2 linked regions of the Arabidopsis thaliana genome follow. The gene in region 1 interacts genetically with each later gene. Each region holds a gene or a part of one and is shown in the gene's direction. Other genes may lie near its edges.

Region 1 (12,555 bases):
ATGGCTATGGTAAAATTCTAGGCCAAGTTTTGATAAATCTTAGGTCTTCAAATAGTTTTTTTTTCCAAAACAGATTATTAATAATGTACATATCTAATGACAATCAACTTCTAAAATTAGTAAAACTAGTTATTGTATATTCTGTCCCCCTACCAAACATCGATGCTTCCTCAGAAACAATAAAAAGCATTGCGTATAATATATACCACGATATCAAAATTATGTTTGGAAAAAAAACACACGTTAAACAAAGTATTTTGAAAAAAAATTCAATCAAGAGATCAAAAAAAGAAAAAAGAAAGAATGATTATAATAGGAGTAAACAGTAGACCACATCTTTTTCAGCACATCACATGCCCCGATTTTGGCCACAACCCAATCTTGAATCTTCTGTTAAACAATAATTATAGGAATATTTAAACACTTAATTATGATGCTTTGCTCAAGAAAAGGGGTGCAAACAACCAAAGCCACCTATCTACTATTTTATCTATTGTCTCTTGGCCACTTGGCCTATCAGTATTCACTATTTAGTAGTCATGAGTACTAAATAGTTAATCATAATTACAAAAAAAACTAAAAGAAAAATTGTTAAGAGATAGACGAGATAGCTGAAAACCAAATCAAAAGATTTCGAAATTACAAACCGAGAGTTTTGTAAAGAAAAATGTTTTGTATTTTCTGTATAAAATTTAATTGATATATTTCTATTTAATGAGTTATTTTGAAATTTAATTTATATTTTCAATGTAAAAGATTTGGTAAAAAAATATTCTATCTAAAAATCGAATTATAATCTTGGTGTAAAAACTTTAAGACAAGAATGTTTGGACAAATAAATTATTGAAAGACATCCAAGAAAAATTACATAATCCATGACTATGAAATTATATAACTAATGCCTTTCAGTTTTCACGTAAGGGACATATTTATGAATATACAACTTAGTCAGTTTGTAACTTTGTATGCCCTTATCTGTATAGTGGGTTTTGAATTAGGCCCAACTAAGTTAAGGCCCATAAACGGTGTATAAATATATATGTATAGATATAATTTATTTTATGTATATGAACACACAAACAGTGTATATATATATAACATGTATAATTTATTCTAAAACATCTTGGTCATATATAAACGTCTATAATTTCAAGAGAAAAGAAACAAAAGATGACAAATCAAACGAATATAATATCAAGAGAGAAACAAAACAAGATAAATCAGAATTTGATTGTGCATCCACACCAACCACTAACATGGCGGATTTAGTTACAATTATCACCTTACATGGTAAGCTATGATTCCATAAACATATATACCCTCATCATGCAAGAATTTAATATTGTACAATATTGTAGCACATGCGTGGACAATTATTTTTCACTATATAACACACACAAATATATATATATATATATATATATATAATTTTCATCAATATTAAACTCATATATTGAAAGAATATAAATTTGTATAATATTTTCATGACTTCAATTAATTATATCAAAATTTCGTATATCATTTAAAATTCATCACTGATTTTTGTTTAGAAAAAAAGATAGATAGCTATGGACATGACGTCGAATTTTAATATATCCTATGTAACAGTGTTCATATAATCAAAAAAGAAAAAATAATTACTATTGTTTGTGTTCTTTGCAACAATGCGTTAGAAACTCGGAGACCACTTGTTTTTTCTCTTATGATTTCGCTTCAGTATGATTTAGCAAAGCATCTCTACGGTACAAAATATCTTACGAATTGACATGATCTGATCCACACTATATCAAGGAGTTAGAAAGACAGAACTGAAAGCTTCTTAGCTCGATATGTATTTCAAGCTACGGTTCACACCATCTAGGGAGACAAGAATGGAAGAAGGCATGACGTCAAGTCGAACTATGCAGCTCTCTTACTTAAATGGGTCGACAAACAAATACGGAACCAACTATCATCCATTCGAGCAAGCGGTGATAGGTGGTATGACTAAGGTCTCTAAATTTGGTTTACGGCGAAAAATTAATTGATCAAAAAATTTTTGGTTTAGTGTTTTAAGATCTTTTTCAAAAAAACGTTGTATTTGATGTATAAACGCTATTTCTTTTTGAAATTAATTTAATATTATTTTTGTTTGAAAAGAAGAAGAAACATAATTCAAACAATCCCTATCTTTAATGTTCCAACATCTTAATAAATACATAATTAAAACTCTACGATCAATACTACACTTCTGACGATTATTAAATCGCATCGTCGTACACTATTATTACAAAGACCGTTCTATCTACATTAATATTCTTTATATATTTTTTTTTTTCATTTTTTGAGATTGTTGGAGTATATATCCTTAGATTTTCTTGTATATAAAAATAGATAATTATAATGGGATAAACGAAACATCGTTGAAGCCGTGAAGTGGCATTGGTCTACACCAGAGCAACACAAAAAGACAACCACTTCACATGGTCTGCTCTTACATTCATAACCGAATCTAAGTCACTTTTAGTTGGTTGTAATTTTGTAACTATTATTCCAACACCTCTTTTTTTACTTTTTAGATTGTTTTATAATAGAAATATTTTAATTCCTAAATTAATAATGAAAGTAAATGTAATATGAGTCAGTACAATATGTGAAAAACTTAAAAAGTTGACAGAATTTAGCATTTGATTAAAAGTGTATGAAGAAGAAGAAAAAAGAAGATCTTTTTGTATCTATAGATTTAGTGCATAACTTTTCTCAGATTTTCGATATATACAAGAATTTAACATAAGAAAAATCAAGACAAATGGACCTGGTTATAATCGGTTATCTGTTGTAAATATTATATTTCATATTCTTCTCCACTTCATAATTCTTATTGGAGTTCCTTCACCAAATGTTTGATGTTCCATTAAATTAATCTACCACTCTAATAAGAGGTATCGTACTACAAATTACACTTCATAAACAAGAGAAGAACATAAATTTGAATTTTTTTAAAAAAACATATGCGTTATAACACCAAACAGTAACGGACTAGCTGATCCTTGAATTTATATTAGTTGCAAAAATTTATATATCGAAATTGAAACATGAATTTTTAAAATTATTAGAAAATGTATGATGTTGTCTAAATGTGACATTACAAATACATGATGTTGTTTAAAAATTATTATAAAACAACCAAAGTTTGGCGTCATTCTGGTAAACGCACTTAATGAATTTATATACAGTTAAAGATTTTAACATCAAATTTTAAAATGACAACTTAACTAAAATTTGTATCCTAATATTTTTACTAGAGAAACTCACACATATTTTTCAAACAAATGATTAGTTATATATCCTTCGATAATAGGTATTGTGTAAAACTGTGTGGTTTGCACAAGTGATCCCTCGATATTCTTTCTGCTAAAGATCGACTTCCCACAGTTTCGATATCTCGGGTTTGGGTGCAATAGCATATGCTTGTTTAGTATGCAGATAATCGTATGAGAGAGTCAGAGAGATCATCTATTTTTCATGATATGGTCTGAGCTAATCGATCATTTGTTATTTATACTCGATAACGTTCTAATTTGTATGATTTTTCAGCCTTGATCTATCACAAAATGGAGATAATGAAATGGTAGTCATAAGAAAGGTAATGATCCCCTTGACATGCTTATTATAACACAAAAAGTAATCGCTACTGATTAGCTTACCCTATGATTTGAATCATATAACTTTATACTAATTGTCTAAGTGTGATGATATAATGTATATGATGTCATTTATAACTTATTAGTAAAAATATAAAGTTCTTCATCATTGTCATAAGGAGTTAATTGGATATACATCAAAAAATTTCCTAAATTTTTAGAAATTATTAATCAAGTTATAATAGAAATTATTAAATAAAATATATGATGTTTTCTAAATGTGACGATACAAAATACATGATGTTGTTCAAAACTTATTAGACAGAAACCAAAGTACATCATCATTGTGATGAAGACTTTAATGGATTTATACATTTCAAAGTTTTAAACATTACTTATTTAAATGAAAAATTGAGCTAAAATTTGTATACTTATATGTTGACCATAGAAATACTTCTATATAATTTTAGACAAGTTGTCTATACATATATATATATATATATATATATATATATATGTATTTACACAAAAATCAAGTTTTCTTAATGTAACAATATAAAAATATAAAATATCTAATGTTGTTTAAAAATTATTTAGACCAAAAAAAAAAAAAACTGTAATCAAACTTTCATTGGATTATATCTAACTCTAAACATGAATTTTTATACAATGACATGTTCAATAAAATTCCCATTTCATAGTTTGACCAGAAAAAATGCTTGCAGATTTGTTAAAATCTCTACTTATGCAAAACCATTGAATCACACCAGATTTTGATTTGTAGTACTTTAAAAATATTAATTGAACACAACATAACTTTAACAAAAAAGATCTTTATAAAAAAAAAACTTTCTAAAATGACATTAATTAACACAAATTAGTCAATTCAAACAATCCAATAAAATCAAAGTAAACCCTTAATTGTTTTTTTTTTCCATTTTACAAAATGTTAAACATTAATTACATCAACTAGCAACACGAATCTCTCAATCTCTCATGTCTCAATGAGTCTTTGACCACTAGTCTTCATCACTCTCTCTCCCTCCTATATATACCAATCACACCCTTCTCCAACCACACTCTCATTCTCTCTCTCTTCTCACCACTTCAAAACAAGACACTCGTAAAAGAGTTCTTGAACTTCACAAAACAATTGTCAGATTTTCAAGAAAAACTTTATAAAACAAAAAACATTTCATTCTTTCTCTCTCTCTCTCTCACTGCTCAATGATCTCGTTTTCTCACTAAACCAACTCGTTTCTTCTTACTTTCTTTAACTCGGATCTACAAAAAACCATGTCGGAAACTAACACAACCGATGCCAAGACTGTTCCAGCAGAAGCAGAGAAGAAGAAAGAACAGAGTTTACCATTCTTTAAACTCTTTTCTTTCGCTGATAAATTTGATTATCTCTTAATGTTCGTTGGTTCTCTTGGTGCCATTGTTCATGGCTCTTCCATGCCTGTCTTCTTTTTACTCTTTGGTCAAATGGTTAATGGATTTGGTAAAAACCAAATGGATTTACATCAAATGGTTCATGAAGTCTCTAGAGTAAGTCTTTTTTTTCTTTCTTGTTTTTATCAAATTAGATCCAAGATCTGATCTAATTTTTGTGTTTGTGAAATTTTGCAGTATTCTCTATATTTCGTCTACTTGGGTTTGGTCGTTTGCTTCTCTTCTTACGCAGGTTTGTTTCTTACAAATCCAATCTTCTTTTTCTTTATTCTTCAATCAAGAAACCCAGTAATTAAATCACATTATAAACAAGATCAAGAAATTTTTTGCACAAAAAAAAAAGAAAACAAGATCAAGAAATTAATAAAGTTTAGATTAAACATTTGCATTATTTTCTTTTTTTTGGTTCAACCAATTAACCCATTAACATAAATTAAATCAGATTATTAGGCAAGAAATCTAAAGGTGTATTTTTTGAGTTTTATTTGATTCTTCCTCAAAGTGACCATTTACTCTGAAGGTAAAACATTTTTTTTTACTCTACAACAAAAACCCAACTTCTTTTTTTGTTTGCTTCAAAATTATATTAAAAAAAGAAAGCTTAAACTTTGTTTAAAATCTTGTTTTTTTTGTCATTCGCTTTTGATTAGAACTAAAAAAACCATTTTTATAGAATGTTGTTTACATAAGTGATGTAATGGGGTTCGGAACGAACTTTCCGTGCCAACCGCTTTTATAGACAAGAAATCTAAAGGTGTAATTTTTGAGTTTTTATTTGATTCTTCCACAAAGTGATCATTTACTCTGGTAAACATTTTTTTACTCTACAACAAAAACCCAACTTTTTTATGTTTGCTTCAATAAATAAAAACCTAGAAACAGAAATCACAATCTAGAGAGAATCAAAATTATATATAAAAAAAAAACACTTCAAATTTTTAAAAATTTTAATATGTTAAAAGGATAAGCCAAGTCCACGTGATTCATGGACTACTACTTTGTCTATATCGAAAAAAAAAAAAAAATGGGCATCTCTCTCACATTTATTACAACTTCATAAAAATTCTTGTAATAATAACCATAATTTTTTGTTAAATAATTTTACAGAGATAGCATGTTGGATGTATTCTGGAGAAAGACAAGTAGCAGCATTAAGGAAGAAATATCTTGAAGCAGTATTAAAACAAGACGTTGGGTTCTTTGATACTGATGCTAGAACTGGTGACATTGTCTTTAGTGTTTCTACTGATACTCTTCTTGTTCAAGATGCCATTAGTGAAAAGGTAACCATTTTTTTTTTTACTACCAACAAAATCTAGTATTTACCGGCGGGTCCCATTTTTTTCATGATCAATCTTTATCAAAGTTTTGGGTCCGTTTATGTTAGCAACCGTCGTTTATCTTGCGCCTCAGGTGGTTAGGGAAGAAAAAAGACTATAGATTGATTTTTTTTTTTGTTAAAATAAAAGTTGGATTTTTTTCATAAGATTGTGAAAATAAGTAATTTTTTTTTACAAATTTGCTATAGAAATAGAGGATTTTTTTCACTATTTAACTAAAACTTAAATGATATAGTACTCATTTTCTTACATTTTTAATATAAAAATAGCTTCTTTTTTTCCATTGTGAAAAATATTTATTATGCAAAATAATGTTTCTTTAACAAGTAAAATAAATATTTGTTATTAAAAAAAATGTGTAAAGTACCTTCAAATTTTAATAGTACATTTTATCTAAAACTGTTTTTTTTTTTGCAATTTGGTCCTGTCTCTGTGGTGCACGTTAGCAAGCACGAGCTAACATGCACTGGGTCCCCTAGTTTCATTATTATCATCACTCTTTTTTATTGTTGATGAAGTGAATTAATAACAGAGTAGTTGAAAAAAAATTGAATTTCTCAGGTTGGAAACTTTATACATTACCTCTCAACATTTTTGGCGGGATTAGTAGTTGGATTTGTATCAGCATGGAAATTAGCTTTGTTAAGTGTTGCTGTGATTCCCGGAATCGCTTTCGCCGGAGGTTTATACGCTTATACACTCACCGGAATTACTTCAAAGAGCCGTGAATCTTATGCTAACGCCGGTGTTATCGCCGAGCAGGTAAATAAAGATTAAAGTTTGTTCCTTTATTTGTTTTATTTAATGCCCACCAACTGTTCGACGTAATGCTTTTTAACTGTTCTTAGGCTTGCTTCTTTGTACTTGATCTCTCAAATGATTTTTTTTTTTTTTCATTGCTTCTTATGCAATCCAAAGACTTAAACAGTGTTTTCACTAATTCAAAATCTTTGCTTTTCTTTGGTCGGTTAATGATTGATGTTTTGGTTTCTCAGGCAATTGCTCAAGTTCGAACTGTTTATTCTTATGTTGGAGAGAGTAAGGCACTTAATGCGTATTCGGATGCGATTCAGTATACGCTTAAGCTCGGTTATAAAGCGGGGATGGCTAAAGGGTTGGGTTTAGGATGTACTTATGGAATAGCTTGTATGTCATGGGCTTTGGTGTTTTGGTATGCTGGAGTTTTTATTCGGAATGGACAAACCGATGGAGGAAAGGCGTTTACTGCTATATTCTCTGCTATTGTTGGTGGAATGTAAGAATTCAAAACATAACAATGATGTGGTTTTGTGTATTTTGTGTTTTGTTATTACTTGGATGTCACTTTTTGTTTCTGTGTGTGTTTTTAGGAGTTTGGGGCAATCTTTCTCGAATCTTGGGGCGTTTAGTAAAGGTAAAGCGGCTGGTTATAAGTTGATGGAGATAATTAACCAGAGACCGACGATAATTCAAGACCCGTTGGATGGAAAATGTTTGGATCAAGTTCATGGGAACATTGAGTTTAAAGATGTGACTTTTAGCTATCCTTCACGGCCTGATGTTATGATCTTCAGGAACTTTAATATTTTCTTCCCTTCTGGGAAAACTGTGGCGGTTGTTGGTGGGAGTGGCTCTGGAAAGAGTACTGTTGTTTCCCTCATTGAGAGATTCTATGATCCAAACAGCGGTAATTTGATTGAATTTGTTTTTTGCTATTTGAGTCTTTGGCTAGTGACTGGATCATAACTTTGTTTATTTTTTCTTGATGAGCAGGGCAAATTCTGTTGGATGGTGTTGAGATAAAGACGCTTCAGTTGAAGTTTTTGCGTGAACAAATCGGGCTTGTGAATCAAGAACCTGCGCTCTTTGCCACTACTATACTAGAGAACATACTCTATGGAAAGCCTGATGCAACAATGGTTGAAGTTGAAGCTGCTGCTTCCGCTGCGAATGCGCATAGTTTCATTACATTACTTCCTAAAGGCTACGACACACAGGTATAAATCAAATATTTGATTATATGTCTAGTTAATGTCATGGCCTTTTGCTTAATTTTTTGTTGAATGTCAATACAATTAGGTTGGAGAACGTGGTGTTCAACTCTCAGGTGGACAGAAGCAGAGAATTGCAATTGCTAGGGCGATGTTGAAAGACCCAAAGATTCTGTTACTAGATGAAGCTACAAGCGCTCTTGATGCTAGCTCTGAGAGCATTGTTCAGGAAGCTTTAGACAGAGTCATGGTGGGGAGGACCACTGTTGTTGTTGCTCATCGTCTCTGCACCATCAGAAATGTTGATTCCATTGCCGTGATACAGCAAGGCCAAGTTGTTGAAACCGGAACACATGAAGAACTCATTGCCAAATCCGGTGCTTACGCATCCCTCATCAGGTTTCAGGAAATGGTTGGTACTCGAGATTTCTCAAACCCGTCAACTCGTCGCACTCGTTCAACCCGTTTGAGCCATTCACTGTCAACGAAATCACTCAGTTTAAGATCAGGAAGTTTGAGGAATCTGAGCTATTCTTACAGCACTGGAGCTGATGGTCGGATAGAGATGATTTCAAATGCAGAGACTGACCGAAAGACTCGTGCCCCTGAAAATTACTTCTACAGGCTTCTCAAGCTTAATTCACCGGAATGGCCTTACTCAATCATGGGAGCAGTAGGCTCAATTCTTTCTGGTTTCATTGGTCCTACATTTGCTATTGTGATGAGCAACATGATCGAAGTCTTCTACTACACAGACTATGATTCAATGGAAAGGAAAACAAAAGAGTATGTCTTCATCTACATTGGTGCTGGTCTCTATGCTGTGGGTGCTTATTTGATCCAACATTACTTCTTTAGCATCATGGGAGAAAACCTCACAACAAGAGTAAGAAGAATGATGCTCTCAGGTATGTATCAAAATCTCCTGAATTTGCTTAAAATCACTTTCCCATTTCTTATTTTGGTTTCTTGATTGTTCTTATTTAGCTATCTTGAGAAACGAAGTTGGTTGGTTCGATGAGGATGAACACAACTCAAGCCTGATCGCTGCACGTTTAGCTACTGATGCAGCAGATGTTAAATCCGCTATAGCCGAGAGAATCTCAGTAATTCTACAAAACATGACTTCACTTCTCACATCCTTCATAGTCGCCTTCATAGTAGAATGGAGAGTCTCACTTCTCATCTTAGGCACATTCCCACTTCTAGTCCTCGCTAACTTTGCTCAGGTAAATAATCTAATCTTTTTACTCAAAATCTTTCAATATTCATCAATCATTAAAATATAATTGGAATCTTGCATTCACCATTATGATCTTAAGAAAAAACGACAAAAGGCCAGATTTTTATAAATTTATATTTGCTTTTCAAAAGTTCAAAACTTTATAGAACATGGCAACACAGCCACTGCCTCTACACGTGCTTCATCTTCTAACTTTATCCAAGTTTGCATTTATGTTTACAATAATAATCATAAAAGAATTATTAAGAAGCTTTTTTTTTCTACTTTTTGGAAATAGTGTAAGGGTCAAGATCATGGAGCCCTCACATCAATAAATGTGCTAAAAAAATTAAAAAACAGTAGGCTTTAGTTTACTCTCTGGGCATGTGTGAAGAATATTTATTATATAGTTTCTATTGGTACTATGACCCATAGATAACAGTGTTCACGAAAATAGCTAAGATTCCTCTGTCTTTTGCTTCTGCTAAATCTATCCTACTTTAAGCTTTCATATTTACTTCACTCTCTGAACTCTGAACTGTGATCCCACTTCTCTCTTTATTTAATTCTTTTGCCCATAAAACCTCACCACAAAAATCCAAAAAATCTGCAATTTTTTTCCTTCTTAGAACCAATATTTTATTTAGAGTTCTTCATTGGTCAAAGTTGTTGTCTCAGTGCATTATTTACTTATCACAGTGTGTGTGTCAGTGTTTTTACACCATCCACTAGTCAATGTTTGCTTGTGGGTTTCTTTGTTTTGGTAGATTAGGTTGTGATGAGTTTTTTTTTTGTTTCTAACTAGCTGCAAGGTTCAGGACTCTGCTTTGATATATCACCAACATTTTTTCACCCGTGATCTAATTATTAGTTGAAAAATCTATCAAATAGATTTCACACAGAAGAACATAGATAGGCATTGTACTTGTACTGATGTTGATGGGATAGAGTGTTGCATATGTGATTTAACTATATGGTTCTACGTCATGTTTTAGTGGCGACTTAGACCTTTGATTGTCAATCTTATTTTTTACAAGTGAACTATTATTACCATCTGTTGTTCTAAATCATAAGTATTAATATATGTGGCTACATTGCAGCAACTATCTCTGAAGGGTTTTGCTGGAGACACAGCTAAGGCTCATGCAAAGACTTCAATGATTGCTGGTGAAGGAGTCAGTAACATTAGAACCGTAGCAGCTTTCAATGCACAGAGCAAGATTCTCTCTTTGTTCTGTCATGAGCTTCGTGTACCTCAGAAAAGAAGCTTATACCGAAGTCAAACCTCGGGTTTCCTATTTGGCCTCTCGCAGCTTGCTCTCTATGGTTCTGAGGCTTTAATTCTCTGGTATGGTGCCCACCTTGTGAGTAAAGGCGTGTCAACCTTTTCCAAAGTGATCAAAGTGTTTGTGGTTTTGGTCATTACTGCAAACTCTGTTGCTGAAACTGTCAGTCTTGCTCCTGAAATTATTCGGGGAGGTGAAGCTGTTGGTTCGGTTTTCTCGGTCTTGGACAGGCAGACCAGGATTGACCCGGATGATGCTGATGCTGATCCCGTGGAGACGATCCGTGGAGACATTGAGTTTAGGCATGTTGATTTCGCTTACCCTTCAAGACCCGACGTCATGGTTTTCAGGGACTTTAACCTCAGAATTCGAGCTGGACATAGCCAAGCTCTTGTGGGCGCGAGTGGGTCAGGGAAGAGTTCTGTAATTGCGATGATCGAGCGGTTTTACGACCCTCTTGCTGGAAAAGTCATGATTGATGGCAAAGACATCCGCCGGCTAAACCTGAAATCTCTAAGGCTCAAAATCGGTCTTGTTCAACAAGAACCAGCTCTCTTCGCAGCAACGATCTTCGACAACATCGCCTATGGTAAAGATGGTGCAACTGAATCCGAGGTAATTGATGCAGCTCGAGCCGCAAATGCTCACGGTTTCATCAGTGGTTTACCTGAAGGTTACAAAACTCCAGTAGGCGAAAGAGGAGTGCAGTTATCAGGTGGACAGAAACAGAGGATCGCGATAGCAAGAGCTGTGCTCAAGAACCCTACAGTGTTGCTTCTAGACGAAGCAACTAGCGCACTAGATGCAGAATCAGAATGCGTGCTGCAAGAGGCGTTAGAGAGGCTCATGAGAGGTCGGACCACCGTGGTAGTTGCTCACCGCTTGTCCACCATAAGAGGTGTTGATTGCATTGGTGTGATTCAAGACGGGCGGATTGTGGAGCAAGGCAGCCATTCAGAGCTCGTTAGCCGACCAGAGGGAGCTTATTCAAGGCTGTTACAGCTTCAAACACATAGGATTTGAAGCTTGATCATGGATTAAAAACAAAAAATCGGTTTGTGTAATTTTTTTTATATTAAAACTTTAATTTGGAAGATTTCTATGGACTATAACGATAATATGAATAGGTGTAGATAATGAAGCTTTTGGAGTGTTTATGAAGGTTCTTTAATTAAGGGTTATTTTTTTCGCATTTTGCTTATGTGCCCGTTTTGGAACATAAGACTGAACTATGTTTTCGTTATGTTTTTAATTTATGCCTCGAAACAAAACAAAATCACTCTAATACTTTGGTTGATCAAAATTTCCCTAAAACATTTGGTTCATGACTAGAATTGATCGGACATGTTCTTTTAGGGGTTTGATCTCGCATGGTCTAATCAGGTTATGTGGTCTTACAGCGACTTAATCAATTTAGACCGGCTATCAAAATTAGATTCAGCCTAAACAGCAAAATTGTCTTATATAATATCCTAAATCACAGACCGGATTTTTTTTTTTTATAAACTCTATCGGCTGATCCGGTCAACCCCGGTAGAAACGCACTGAAGTGTTTCATAGTGGACTTCAAACCGAAATTTTGCAGAAATTGAGATGAGAATGAGCTCTACCTCGCATTGACATGTTATTTCGTTCTTGAGATCTTAAGTAATTTTTTGA
Region 2 (13,318 bases), on another chromosome or scaffold:
GGAGAATTGTATATTTCTATATATATATACGTAATTTTCTAAGATGTGTTTAATAACATTAACCTGGCAATAATGGTCAAGAAAACGTGGCTTTGCAGAAAATGGTAATGTTTATGACTTGCATGTTTGTTAAACTGTCCACGGAGATGAACAATCGTTGAAAATGCAATTTATATCATTATGTTATACAATATACGATCCCTACAAACTTGCTTTTAAGCGGTCCTCACGTTCAATTAAACAAAATAATAATGAGAAATACTTATATAACAATCAAATATTCCAATCAATGAATAATTATTGATCCCCTTTATAATAAGCATCATCAACAATATTCGAGTAGTAGCCACATTTCACTTTCATCTATACAGATTCTGATTCGTTCGTTTGAATCAGTAATCGCGCATCTCGTCTCGTCGGAGAAGAATGTCGCTTATGGATAATCTGTTAGGTATCCTCCGCGTTCGTGTCCAACGCGGTGTCAACCTCGCCGTACGTGATGTTTCCAGCAGCGATCCTTACGTCGTCCTCAAGCTAGGTCGTCAGGTTCTCTCTCTCTCACTTTCTCTCTCGTTTTCCTCAAACTTCAACGATTAATTTTTTCAAAAACTCATAATTCATATTTCTTTTGCAGAAACTCAAAACCAAAGTGGTGAAGCAAAACGTAAACCCACAATGGCAAGAAGATTTGTCATTCACAGTAACCGACCCTAATCTCCCGCTTACTCTGGTAAATTCCAAATCAAACCACTACTTTCTAAACCGTGGACCGGTCTACAAATTAACACATCGAATTTGCTTAAATCAAAACAGATTGTGTACGATCACGACTTCTTCAGCAAAGACGACAAAATGGGAGACGCAGAGATCGATTTGAAACCGTACATCGAAGCCTTACGAATGGAACTCTCCGGTTTACCAGACGGAACCATCATATCGACCATCGGTCCAAGCCGTGGCAACTGCTTAGCCGAGGAAAGCTACATCCGTTGGATCAACGATCGAATCGTTCAGCACATTTGTCTCCGACTCCGTAACGTCGAGCGTGGTGAAGTTGAGATTGAACTCCAATGGATTGATCTTCCCGGTTCTAAAGGCTTGTAAACAATTTTCGAAAGTTACCTTATTGGGCTTTTTAAACTTATTTATTGGGATAAGCCCATTATATAAATATAATATGAGGCCTATGATCCGATTGGATTCGGTCTGGAGTTATTTTTCACAAATAAACATTTGAAATATTTATGAACATTATGATATTGAAGTATGAATGTGTGTGTGAAACCATTGGGTTTGTGTCTGCCCAAGGCGGCACGAATTTTAGTGATTGATGTTTAGTTTGAAGGAATCGTGAGGACAAAGATATTTTACTTTCGTATATTCTTTTATTTTATTTTTCTCTTTTGGTTTTTCCTTTTAACGAAGTGAAGAAAATGAAAAAGAAAGAGATGAAAAAGATAACTTTATTGCAGCAATAGCAGCTTTTGAGGAACACAAATTTGTATTTTGAAACGAAGTAAGAAAAAGTTGGTAATTTTTCAGATCCTTTTAAATATTCTCTGTTCTATTTCTATATATTCTTTTATAGGTTCAGCCTTTTAGAGAACCCAAAACCGTGCAAAAAAAAAGATTAAATTTTTAAAAAATATATGTTTAGCGAAAGCATCTATATATGCTTTTTTCACATTGATTCGTAGCCGTAGATCGGTATTTGGTCTGATGTTTTCTTTTGGTCGGGGGAAACTTTCGAAATTGTAAAATAGACCCTTTATTATTGATTCGTTTCTTAAACATCCCCTATGTTTTATAATCATGACGAAAGTAGATAATGAAAAACATTTGAGTTGGAGCTTAATGAAGCTGACAAGTGTCACGCCTCTACTTTAATTTTCCCATTTTACCCTCATCCATCATTAACTTCTTTTACGCATGCCCCTCCTGTTTCTCGCTCTGTTCTTTCTTCTACTCCTTTATTGTTTTCTTCACGTTTATAACTATTTGTTGATTATTTCACTTCAACATCGTATTAAAAATAAGTTAAAGACAAATTAAATAGAGTAAACCCATTCATAAAAACAACATAATCATTAAGGCTGAGTCGGATGATATGTGAATAGCCTATTTTTCCGGATATCCTCCAAATCAAGTTTTATGTCGTCGATTTGTGTGTGTGTGTCCATCATCTGTTGTATTTGTTCAAAAGGGCTTAAAACATTTCGTACCAAACATGAATCTTCATTAGTCATCATCCGTTCATTAGTGGGATTATTTGTTTTGATTACAATTACAAGGCATGCTTTAGCGAAGCGTGTTTAAGCACAAACGCATGGACCTTCAACATGCATTATTTTCGGGTTGCGTGAAAAGCTATGCTTACATTGTACTAACTTTTAATTAAATTAATCATTAAGTTGATTTCTTTTAATTTCATGCAGTTGTATACGGTACTTATGAGTTCTGATTGATAACCAAACTATGAAGTTTTCTTTTCTGATTCATAATTTATCCATTTGAGTTTTTTATTCAACCGTCTATTTCTAATTGATTCTACAACAATTAGTCACCCAATGACTATGAGACTCATAATAGTTTGAATAATTAAACTATACAATTGTGGCAAATGGCTATGCATAAAAACAACATCTTTTGTAATTTTTAAGGCGTGAGGAAGATGTATAAAGTGAATAACCTACTTTTCAAATACAACGGCTAGCTGGACATCTCGCTATATATTGTTATTCAAGTCTTATTTAGGTTTTGAAAAATAATCAAGTACAATAATTTTCTTTCTCATGAATGTTAAACCGAATAGAGAAGCCAAGCAAAGATATAAAAAATACAATGGGAGGCTTCCACCGTAGACAGTCCAATGATCATCTACATTTCGACCATTAACCAGTAACGACTAACGAGAATCAATATCAAATATTTTCTTAAACTCGGCAACCATTAATCTTCTGTTGATAAACTTTAAAAAAATTCATTATAGTAATCTTTTTATTTATCTTTTAGCCAATAAAAAGATTAGTCAAATTTGTAAATTATTCCATTGGCGTTGTCGCCAAAGTTTCATTTCAAAACCACATAGTTAGTTTATACTTCTTATTAAAAAAGAATTATGAGTTCGAGCGATTTTGTTAACTAGTGATATTTCGGTCTATATAAATTTTGAAGAAAACCCAAAAGAAAGCATAATTTGATGCAAAACATGTATCCACTTATCATTCCCATTGATTAACGTATTTATTGAGATTAGTTTGTCGACTTTTAGTATCAGCCATAAGACTCACTTTATGTATATTAAAGCAGGTCAATATAGATCATAAAGTGTTAATTAGTCAAAATTTGCTTTATTAAACCAAACTATCTTACTCTCTTTTCCATTTTTCCCGTTTCAAGTGTTTGCTAAAAGATCAATTTTAATTTTCTCGTTTCAAGTATTTGCTAAAAGGTCATCCATCACCCATAACCATAAGTCAAGCCGTGCAAACATAGAGTATTAGAAAAAACGTTAATTTGAGTTCAATATTACACAAAGTCGCAGTTGTAACAAGGATTTGCACAACAAAAGATTGAAAGATTAATGGATTAGTGACAAATAATTTGAAAGATCCAAAATATCATTAACTATATGGAATGTGAAAAAATCCTGCAATTTTTTTTTTTTTTTTGCCGTGTTAAAAATTCAATTCTTTCAAAGAACCAATTTTAAAATTATTTGTCAGTAAAAAAAAATAGAAACTACTTGATTTATAATTTTTAATAGAAAAATGATGTTAAGTCATCAACTCTTTTATTTTTTCGTAACTTCTCAACATATTTACTTTATTCGGATTGCATAACCTACTTTTTTTGTGTGTATAGTCTCTTTAAGCGCAAGAAATGGCAAGGAAAGTCGAATTATATTAGTACTATATATTATTATTATGCTTAAAAAAAAGTTGAAAACATTGGAAAAATAAAAAGCTGGAAAGAAAAAAAAAAGAAGAACTGTGTTTGTATGGGATGATGAGAAAAATGAAGAGCAGACTGTTGATGGAATATTGTGTTTCCTCAAATATCAACACTCCTCATTATATCATCAACCCATTGCTTTTTGTACGGACTTTATTAGTAGTATTAAAGAACACATCAGACTGATTTGTGTAAGCAAACCAGAACCACCCTCTTTTCAACATTTTTCTTTCAAAAAACTTCTACGTATTTATGTTCAATAAAACTTTGTTACTAATTTTCTCAACGAAATATATTTTATAAAACTTTGTTAGTAATGTTATACAGTAAACAGTAAAAGAAAATAAGTTCCAAGATGAGCGATCAAAGGATTGAATAGTTCATAAATAATTCGTATGCGCAACTACAACTGTAAATGATAACCTATGCAATGATAACTCACACACACCCATCTCACATGAAAAAGTGATTTCGACCTTATGTTAGTGATATCACATCTTTTCTTTTATCTCCACCCACAAAGTCTTTGGTTAGGAACTAGTTTGTTCAATTGCAACCATTTTTCCAAAGACTTTCAACCTCTCTTCGGAGAAGACTTCTATCTTTAAAACCAAAATTTTCTAAGTTCATATAAACATCAAATCGAGCCTTATATCATCACTTCAATGTGTATTTATCTTCTGTTGTGATTTATCAATTGAAAGTCAATACCAAAAATCCCATCATACTAATCACAATAATTTATAGCAAAAATAAATTTAACAATTTTTAAACATGGTAAAAATATAAATTTAATAATTAGTATAGGGGATAAATTGATCAACCGAATAGATTAATTCATAATTTGAAAAGGCCAAAAAAAAAAGAGAGAGGCAAAAACAGAGGCTCTGCTTTGGACTCCGCAAAGCGCACAAGGCCGCCTCTTTCACTATCCCCAAAGCTCCACCACGCACCCATCAACCACCATTTTTATTTCGTTTTTATTACATTCAAAAAAACTTCTTTTTGTCGTATTTCAATCAAAATTACATCACACACACTATTATGTTGGAATGTTTAACAAAACAAATAAATATGTTGAGCTATTCCAATTTTACATTTAATGTTTTTTTACTCCTACACGTAAACTACTTTTGAATATAATATCTAGAAACTAACCAAATAATCGAAAACGAAAATAATAAAATCAGCAAACAGTTTTAGCTTCATTAACAAAATATATATATGTTTAATTAAAAAATATGGTATTTTCTCAACGGACAAAAAAATAAAATAAAAAGAATATAAAAATGTGGTCTCTTCTCAACACTCACTTTACTCTTTTTTCCCTCTTCACCACTTCTCTCTCAAACTAAAGACAAAAGCTCTTCTCTCTTCCCTCTCTCTTCTCCGGCGAACAAAAGATGATTACGGCGGCGGACTTCTACCACGTTATGACGGCTATGGTTCCGTTATACGTAGCTATGATCCTCGCTTACGGCTCTGTCAAATGGTGGAAAATCTTCACACCAGACCAATGCTCCGGCATAAACCGTTTCGTCGCTCTCTTCGCCGTTCCTCTCCTCTCTTTCCACTTCATCGCCGCTAACAACCCTTACGCCATGAACCTCCGTTTCCTCGCCGCAGATTCTCTCCAGAAAGTCATTGTCCTCTCTCTCCTCTTCCTCTGGTGCAAACTCAGCCGCAACGGTTCTTTAGATTGGACCATAACTCTCTTCTCTCTCTCGACACTCCCCAACACTCTAGTCATGGGGATACCTCTTCTCAAAGGCATGTATGGTAATTTCTCCGGCGACCTCATGGTTCAAATCGTTGTTCTTCAGTGTATCATTTGGTACACACTCATGCTCTTTCTCTTTGAGTACCGTGGAGCTAAGCTTTTGATCTCCGAGCAGTTTCCAGACACAGCAGGATCTATTGTTTCGATTCATGTTGATTCCGACATTATGTCTTTAGATGGAAGACAACCTTTGGAAACTGAAGCTGAGATTAAAGAAGATGGGAAGCTTCATGTTACTGTTCGTCGTTCTAATGCTTCAAGGTCTGATATTTACTCGAGAAGGTCTCAAGGCTTATCTGCGACACCTAGACCTTCGAATCTAACCAACGCTGAGATATATTCGCTTCAGAGTTCAAGAAACCCAACGCCACGTGGCTCTAGTTTTAATCATACTGATTTTTACTCGATGATGGCTTCTGGTGGTGGTCGGAACTCTAACTTTGGTCCTGGAGAAGCTGTGTTTGGTTCTAAAGGTCCTACTCCGAGACCTTCCAACTACGAAGAAGACGGTGGTCCTGCTAAACCGACGGCTGCTGGAACTGCTGCTGGAGCTGGGAGGTTTCATTATCAATCTGGAGGAAGTGGTGGCGGTGGAGGAGCGCATTATCCGGCGCCGAACCCAGGGATGTTTTCGCCCAACACTGGCGGTGGTGGAGGCACGGCGGCGAAAGGAAACGCTCCGGTGGTTGGTGGGAAAAGACAAGACGGAAACGGAAGAGATCTTCACATGTTTGTGTGGAGCTCAAGTGCTTCGCCGGTCTCAGATGTGTTCGGCGGTGGAGGAGGAAACCACCACGCCGATTACTCCACCGCTACGAACGATCATCAAAAGGACGTTAAGATCTCTGTACCTCAGGGGAATAGTAACGGTATAGTCCCTCTATAACTTTGTTGTTTTGTTTTCGCACCCTAATTTATTTTCTTTACAAAAACACCCCCAAAATTTCTCTATGTCCTTCGATATTTATGATTTGGTTAAGGGGTTCTTTAATTGTTTACATGTGTTGTTGCCTTACTTTAGACAACCAGTACGTGGAGAGGGAAGAGTTTAGTTTCGGTAACAAAGACGATGATAGCAAAGTATTGGCAACGGACGGTGGGAACAACATAAGCAACAAAACGACGCAGGCTAAGGTGATGCCACCAACAAGTGTGATGACAAGACTCATTCTCATTATGGTTTGGAGGAAACTTATTCGTAATCCCAACTCTTACTCCAGTTTATTCGGCATCACCTGGTCCCTCATTTCCTTCAAGTACTGTTTCAAACTTGTCTTATTTTCACTTTACTTTGGTTTTGGTCTACTATTTTAACCACTTTCTTGATGCATAAAGGGTCAGCCTTGAATGCGTATATGTTTGAAAGTTTTTTCTGATAGATTGAAGTAACAAAAGATTTGAGAAAGATCTCTTTATTGGAATTAAATTGATGTGGTCTGTGCAGGTGGAACATTGAAATGCCAGCTCTTATAGCAAAGTCTATCTCCATACTCTCAGATGCAGGTCTAGGCATGGCTATGTTCAGTCTTGGTCAGTTCCTTTTTCTCTTTTCTTTTATTTTTACCTCTTTTCATTTATTACATAATTAAATACCATAAAACAGTCAATTGTTCTCTTTATTTCTGACCTTCATTCTTTATGGTGTTTTTTAAATTTTAAATGATTTTAAGAAAAAAAACAAATCATGTGGAAGCATGATTCTCTCTGTTTTCTTTTTCTTTGAAGTTTTTTTGAAACATGTTTGTATCAAAAAAGCAAACAAAACTGGCTTCACAGCAGAAAGCATGCTCCACAGTTCTCTGCTTATCATCATAACATGTCTCTCCCTTGAATAGGAGGAACCATTTTTTATTTTCTCTTAAAGCAACAAACAATTTTTTTATACCTAATATTGACCCCCTTATCGATGAAAAAACTTTCTTTTTTACCTTGTTTATGTTTCAGTAGACTTCCATCAACTGATTATAAAATTTGTGCTTAATCATGACTTTATGGAATGAATAGTTTAGGATAACGATAATGATGATGTTAATGTTGTGGTGGTGGATCAGTGGCTGTGATGATTATTTTTATGTCACTCTTTTGCAGCTAAAAACAGTGTATAAACTTAAATTAACCAAAAAGCAAAACAATAATAAATTATTTGTTTAAATTTGTGGCTTTTTTTGGATGTGTTAAAGGGTTGTTCATGGCGTTAAACCCAAGAATAATAGCTTGTGGAAACAGAAGAGCAGCTTTTGCGGCGGCTATGAGATTTGTCGTTGGACCTGCCGTCATGCTCGTTGCTTCTTATGCCGTTGGCCTCCGTGGCGTCCTCCTCCATGTTGCCATTATCCAGGTAGTTTTTATTTGCATGATCAAATATGAAACACTTCTGTTGTGTCTACTGTCGTTTATACGATTTCTAACCATTATTTTTATTGACAACAAACAGGCAGCTTTGCCGCAAGGAATAGTACCGTTTGTGTTTGCCAAAGAGTATAATGTGCATCCTGACATTCTTAGCACTGCGTAAGTTTATTAATCTATTAAATAGTTTTGTTGTTATAACAATAAATTTTGTTGTAGAAAAAAAGTTAGGTTGGTTTTGCCTACATTAATTATGATTAGGTGTATATATAAATATATTTTTGTTAACGTGAGTTCTGATTTTTGTTGCAGGGTGATATTTGGGATGTTGATCGCGTTGCCCATAACTCTTCTCTACTACATTCTCTTGGGTCTATGAAGAGATATTACCAAAACACAGGGACTTTGTTTTATTCTTTTGTGGGATGATGAATTGTGAAAAGAACAATGCCCTTTTTGTTGAAAACCCACAAATTAAATCAGAAGCAGCTTTAGAGAATCTTTGAGGATAATTGAAGCTCTTGAAGAAGAGAAGAAGAAGGAGACTTAAGTAGGAGCTCAGCAAGTTTTACCTTTTTCTTAATTTTAATGAACATTCGTGTTTCCTCTTTTGGTAGGTTTTAGGAATTTGTAAAAGCTTTGGCTACTTTTAGTGAATTAAAAACGTTAAGGAAAATATCAAATTTTGTGTGCATGCTAAAAGTGAATTGGTGTGTATAGGTCTAAATCTCACCAAAATAAGAAGTGTTTTAGCCATTTCAAAAGTTAAGTTCACTTAACATTTCTATGTTTCGTTTGCCTAAATGTGAAAAATCAGAAACTAAAACAGTAAAGTACATCTTCCACAAAATGTTTGAGAAAGGGATTTCTACGGGGGATTTGGGAAAATTTAAAACGTAGTCATGAATATTAGAAACTTTACAATAGCTTAGGTGGGAAGGTATGAAATAGCATGTGACTATAACAACACAGACGACACGAGTATTGGATTCAACAGAACACTCGATTAAATATGTAGAAGATAGGGGACTTGGTGCATGCGTTACGTTATTCGACTTGGTCAAGATTCCTCTTCACTGCGTTTGTGGAATCTTGAAAGATTCGTTTAGTGTTGTCAATTGTGTATCCTTTTACCGATTCTTCTCAGAATCATTACATACCACTTAGATGCTGATGCTTTTTATGAATAAAAACAAACCTTCATATTTATACGACGATCTTATATAATGATAAATCAAATGTATAATACTTAACTTGGTTTGAATTGTACTCTCGACATGAAAATCATTTAATTGCTAAAAATATTGGCTTGATTTAAATATGTGGAATGATGAATTTTTATTTATTTTAGTTACCAAATGAATTTATTAGAAAGTGAAATGACTGTATACAAAACAAAAATAAAAATAAAATTGATAGTAATAAATATATGAAGGCGTAATAATTAGAATGAGGAAAATAGTTAAAGAAAGCGACCCTAAATTTATGGCACGCCTCACCCTCACGTAAAAAAAAACCATCATTTTATTCTGCATGAGACGGCTGTAGCCGCCGTTGCATTCTTCAAATTTTCAATGTTTCCAATTAATAAAACTATTATTATAGCTCGATTTGTAAATATTTAAGCCTGCAATTCACATTGTTCAAATTCATAAAATAAAAAAAAACAAAAGTAATGGGTGAGGAATAAAAAGAAGAATGAGACAAGAGAGAAGAAGAAGACGCCGTGTCACTTCGCTTTCCTACTACAACACCAACATTTCTCAGAAGCTTCTAATTCTGTGTTCATTCTCTGCTCTCAATCAATGGTCTTCACCATTTATTGAAAAATATACGTGAAAATCTAATATTTCAGAAATTTGATAAACCATGCATATGATATAACTATCATTTAGTCTAAAGCCTTTAATTTTGGACCCATGAGATTTTGATATTACATGAGATATTTGAAAGGATCGAGGTTTTCTCATAAAGAAGTTTTTTTTTTGTCGGACTCATAAAGAAGTTAATCTCGTCACGGAAAAGATTTCGTATTTACTTAAGATTTTTAGTGAAATTTTAAAAAAAAATTAAATGCAAAGGATGACGTAAAAAAGTATAAGGGTATAAACGTAATTTCGTAAGGTCATAGTTGCAGATGTTAGTGTCTCTGCCTGCCACTAGACGGTGTTGGGTCGGCCGTCGCCCAGACAGAGTATTGAGAGCTTTTTGTCATTTGTCTTTTTCATTTTATTTTTGGGTATTATTTATTTATTTTACTATTGATTCTGTTTTTTTTTTTTCAAAATGTGATTGTATTTTGCTTTTGTTACATTTTTTTTCGCCCGAAGAGATTGTGAGAAAAAAAGAAGATTTTCCTTTTCTTTTGTACGGGTAATTAGATACGATATGACGACCAATAAAAACATAATTGCTTTGCTTTTTTTTGCGATATACAATACTATACAATATATTGGAAAAACTAATTTATAGTATCATTATTTACGGCTTTATCTTCACCTAATTATTTAATAAGATATTGGAAGTCGACACATGATTTGTCATTACACTGCTCCATCGATTATTTTTTTCATTTCTAAAAATACGGCCAATATTTTCCTCTGTCGTGACCAAATAGGTCAACAACAAATTTGAATATTAAACTGAAAAGACGTATACATAATGAAAAAAAAGTAACGTTTTTTTCATCGAAGATAAAAGGATTCAACCATTAAAAATATATATTTTAAGATTTGAAGACCGGCTTTACACGTATACATTATCACCACAATCCCATAAACTATTTTTATATCATATGTTTGAGTGACGGTAATTCCTTTTGTCGCGTTTAAAACATTGGTCGTTTGTTGCACGTGAAAACATACTCCGACTTACTAAAACCCTAAGGATTTACTAAAATAGAGTTATCTTATCTGTCTTCTAAAACTATAGTGAATTAGAATCTTTTTATAAACTAACAAATAAATACAAATGCGGCTTTGAATTCGAGGAACAATCCTTGCTCCCATGTGCACGCCTACACACATACACTACACATTCCTATATCCTAACGTAACAACAAACTAGTTTATGTGCAGGGTCGACTCTGAATAATTTTGGGCCAAAGACTTTTAAATGAAGCTTTAGAAAATTTGGGCTAAAAAAATAAAAAATAATTAATTTTGGACCATTTTGGCTAGTATAATTTCAGAATGTTTTTTGAGGCCACAGCAATTGTTTCACTGGGCTGTGATCAGGGCGGCCCTATTTATGTGATGCTGTTGCTGTTACCTTCGTCGTTATTTGTAACTAATATAAGCTTTTTAAAAAATGTTTGAATCATATGATTAGTCCAGACTCCAGGGTCTTACATTTCTTTAGCCCATTTACAGTAATCCATCAGAAGGCTGTAGACTCCAGGTTGCTGGGTTTTAATTTCTGAAAAGAATTGTATAATACATTATATACACAATATTGGGCCAGAAGGTTATAATGGGCTTATCTTATTCTTAGAGGCTTCTACAAAGTAGCTAATTTAGTCTATTTTATTAACGGGAGCACTTTTTGTATTTTTGGCAGCTGAAACACACATAGCATCATTTTTTTTTTGATAAATAACACACACAGCATCGTTCAGGTGTTCTACTCAAATCATTGTGGATTCGTCGAAAAGAATTGAAATTGAGAAAGAGATAGCGAAAACAAATTTTAAAACTTTATATGAATCAACTCCAACTGAATAAAACTCGCATAAAACCAAATTCTTATATTCTTTGAAAAACCGTAGTAATATATCTTAATTCTCTAGATAATTTCATCTTTGAATATCTAACGACTTGGTCGATAGCCTTTCTTAAGGTATATGTCTTGCATAGTGTCTAGGTTCATTTGGTTATTGTACACTGGTATAAACCAGTTCAATAGTTTTATTATCTATTTCTTGTTAAGGGGGTCGGTTTAACTCACATCTGAGTCTGTATATAAACTGCTCCATGTATATTTTTCCATAATTAATGAGAATGAGATTTATTTTGTTCCTTTGATAAAATGGTATCAGAGCACAAACGGTTCTAACAAACTTTTTCTCACCATATTTTTATATGATGTAAATGAGATCGCTAATAAAAACACCATCAATATATTCATCACAATCAGATAAGTTTGTCAGTAGATATCTCGACGTTCCCAGATATATTTTTTTCTCAACCAAAAGTTATTCATCGGTGATTGCAAAAACTGCCGAACAGTATTATGAAACCCTACATAACATAAAAGGTTTCAAAAACTTCAGAAACATTGAAACAATTTGTGAAGAAATGAAAAGTCGTTAAGATATTGACGACTTGAAGTCGAAAGACTTTTCTGTCGAGTAAACCCACTGTATATTTTATAATGTTATATTTGCTTTCGAATCTTTTGTTTATTTAACTGTTAATCTACTTACGTCTTACGGGTCTGATGTAGTGAGAATCTTCATATGTAGCCCCAAGACAAGGAGAAATATAAACATAAATAAGAAGAAAAATAGGAATCATGGGTGGGGGACCAGAATAGGCTCCCAATTGGGGATAATAATTCGTTATTTAACCCTAAATCATCGGGTGAAAAATAACAAGGTCCTATCATTAACCCCATGTGTAGAATTCTTAACTAGTATATATTGTCCTTTGCATATACTTTTATAGAAAATTATAAATATTACCAAGGCAAGTAGGCAAATCAAAAGAACAAAATTGATTTATAATGGAGTGTAGGCTCATTATTCATTAGAACCACTACCTATAGCTAGTCTATTTAAACATCTAGTGATTTTCTTAGCGGTCGCTGTCTTTAAATCTTTTAAATTTAGGTTTTTTTATTTATTGAATTTAGATTGTTTGATTTTTTTTTCTTCTGGTTGTTCAGTTATATTCACTTGATTCGTATACGTACTTTACTTATCTTGTGACTGAAGACTAAAAATTAATAATGGAATTGTCTTCATTTGTATAAAGTAGATATTTTACAGAATATAAGTTAAAGAAGGAAATTTTGTCCAAAAAAAAAAAGTTAAAGAAAGAACATACGACTAGAAAAATATCCAAGAAAATTATGTTTTAAGGAATTTTTTTAATGTTAATTGTAAAAGTAAATAACATTTTCTCATAAAATTTAAAATTAACGAAGAAAAATGTGAATGATGAACGATCGTTTGTTACGGTTGGAGTGGTACATTCACAAGAATCACAACAAGCGGCAATCATATTTATTGCTTTC

Evidence for each region.
Region 2: changes in ABCB19 (region 1) and PIN1 impair growth when combined (synthetic growth defect), as found in Arabidopsis thaliana (one study listed by BioGRID).

The regions. Positions count from the first base shown.
Region 1 is NC_003074.8:10,869,651-10,882,205, reverse strand, and holds ABCB19 (ATP binding cassette subfamily B19), read left to right. Parts: upstream 1-4,627; 5' UTR 4,628-4,919; coding exon 4,920-5,174; intron 5,175-5,255; coding exon 5,256-5,310; intron 5,311-6,185; coding exon 6,186-6,361; intron 6,362-6,979; coding exon 6,980-7,180; intron 7,181-7,413; coding exon 7,414-7,673; intron 7,674-7,767; coding exon 7,768-8,084; intron 8,085-8,170; coding exon 8,171-8,394; intron 8,395-8,476; coding exon 8,477-9,296; intron 9,297-9,375; coding exon 9,376-9,617; intron 9,618-10,710; coding exon 10,711-11,919; 3' UTR 11,920-12,201; downstream 12,202-12,555. UniProt on the Arabidopsis thaliana protein: Brassinosteroid exporter that, in conjunction with ABCB1, supports the accumulation of exogenous brassinosteroids (BR) in the apoplast, thus promoting BR signaling initiation involving the specific receptor BRI1 and required for plant growth and stress responses.
Region 2 is NC_003070.9:27,654,415-27,667,732, forward strand, and holds PIN1 (Auxin efflux carrier family protein), read left to right. Parts: upstream 1-5,258; 5' UTR 5,259-5,357; coding exon 5,358-6,603; intron 6,604-6,755; coding exon 6,756-6,990; intron 6,991-7,178; coding exon 7,179-7,264; intron 7,265-7,914; coding exon 7,915-8,072; intron 8,073-8,168; coding exon 8,169-8,245; intron 8,246-8,395; coding exon 8,396-8,462; 3' UTR 8,463-8,839; downstream 8,840-13,318. Other genes in the region: AT1G73580 (Calcium-dependent lipid-binding (CaLB domain) family protein), read left to right, coding at 427-546, 635-730, 814-1,104. UniProt on the Arabidopsis thaliana protein: Acts as a component of the auxin efflux carrier; this activity is enhanced when activated by D6PK-mediated phosphorylation.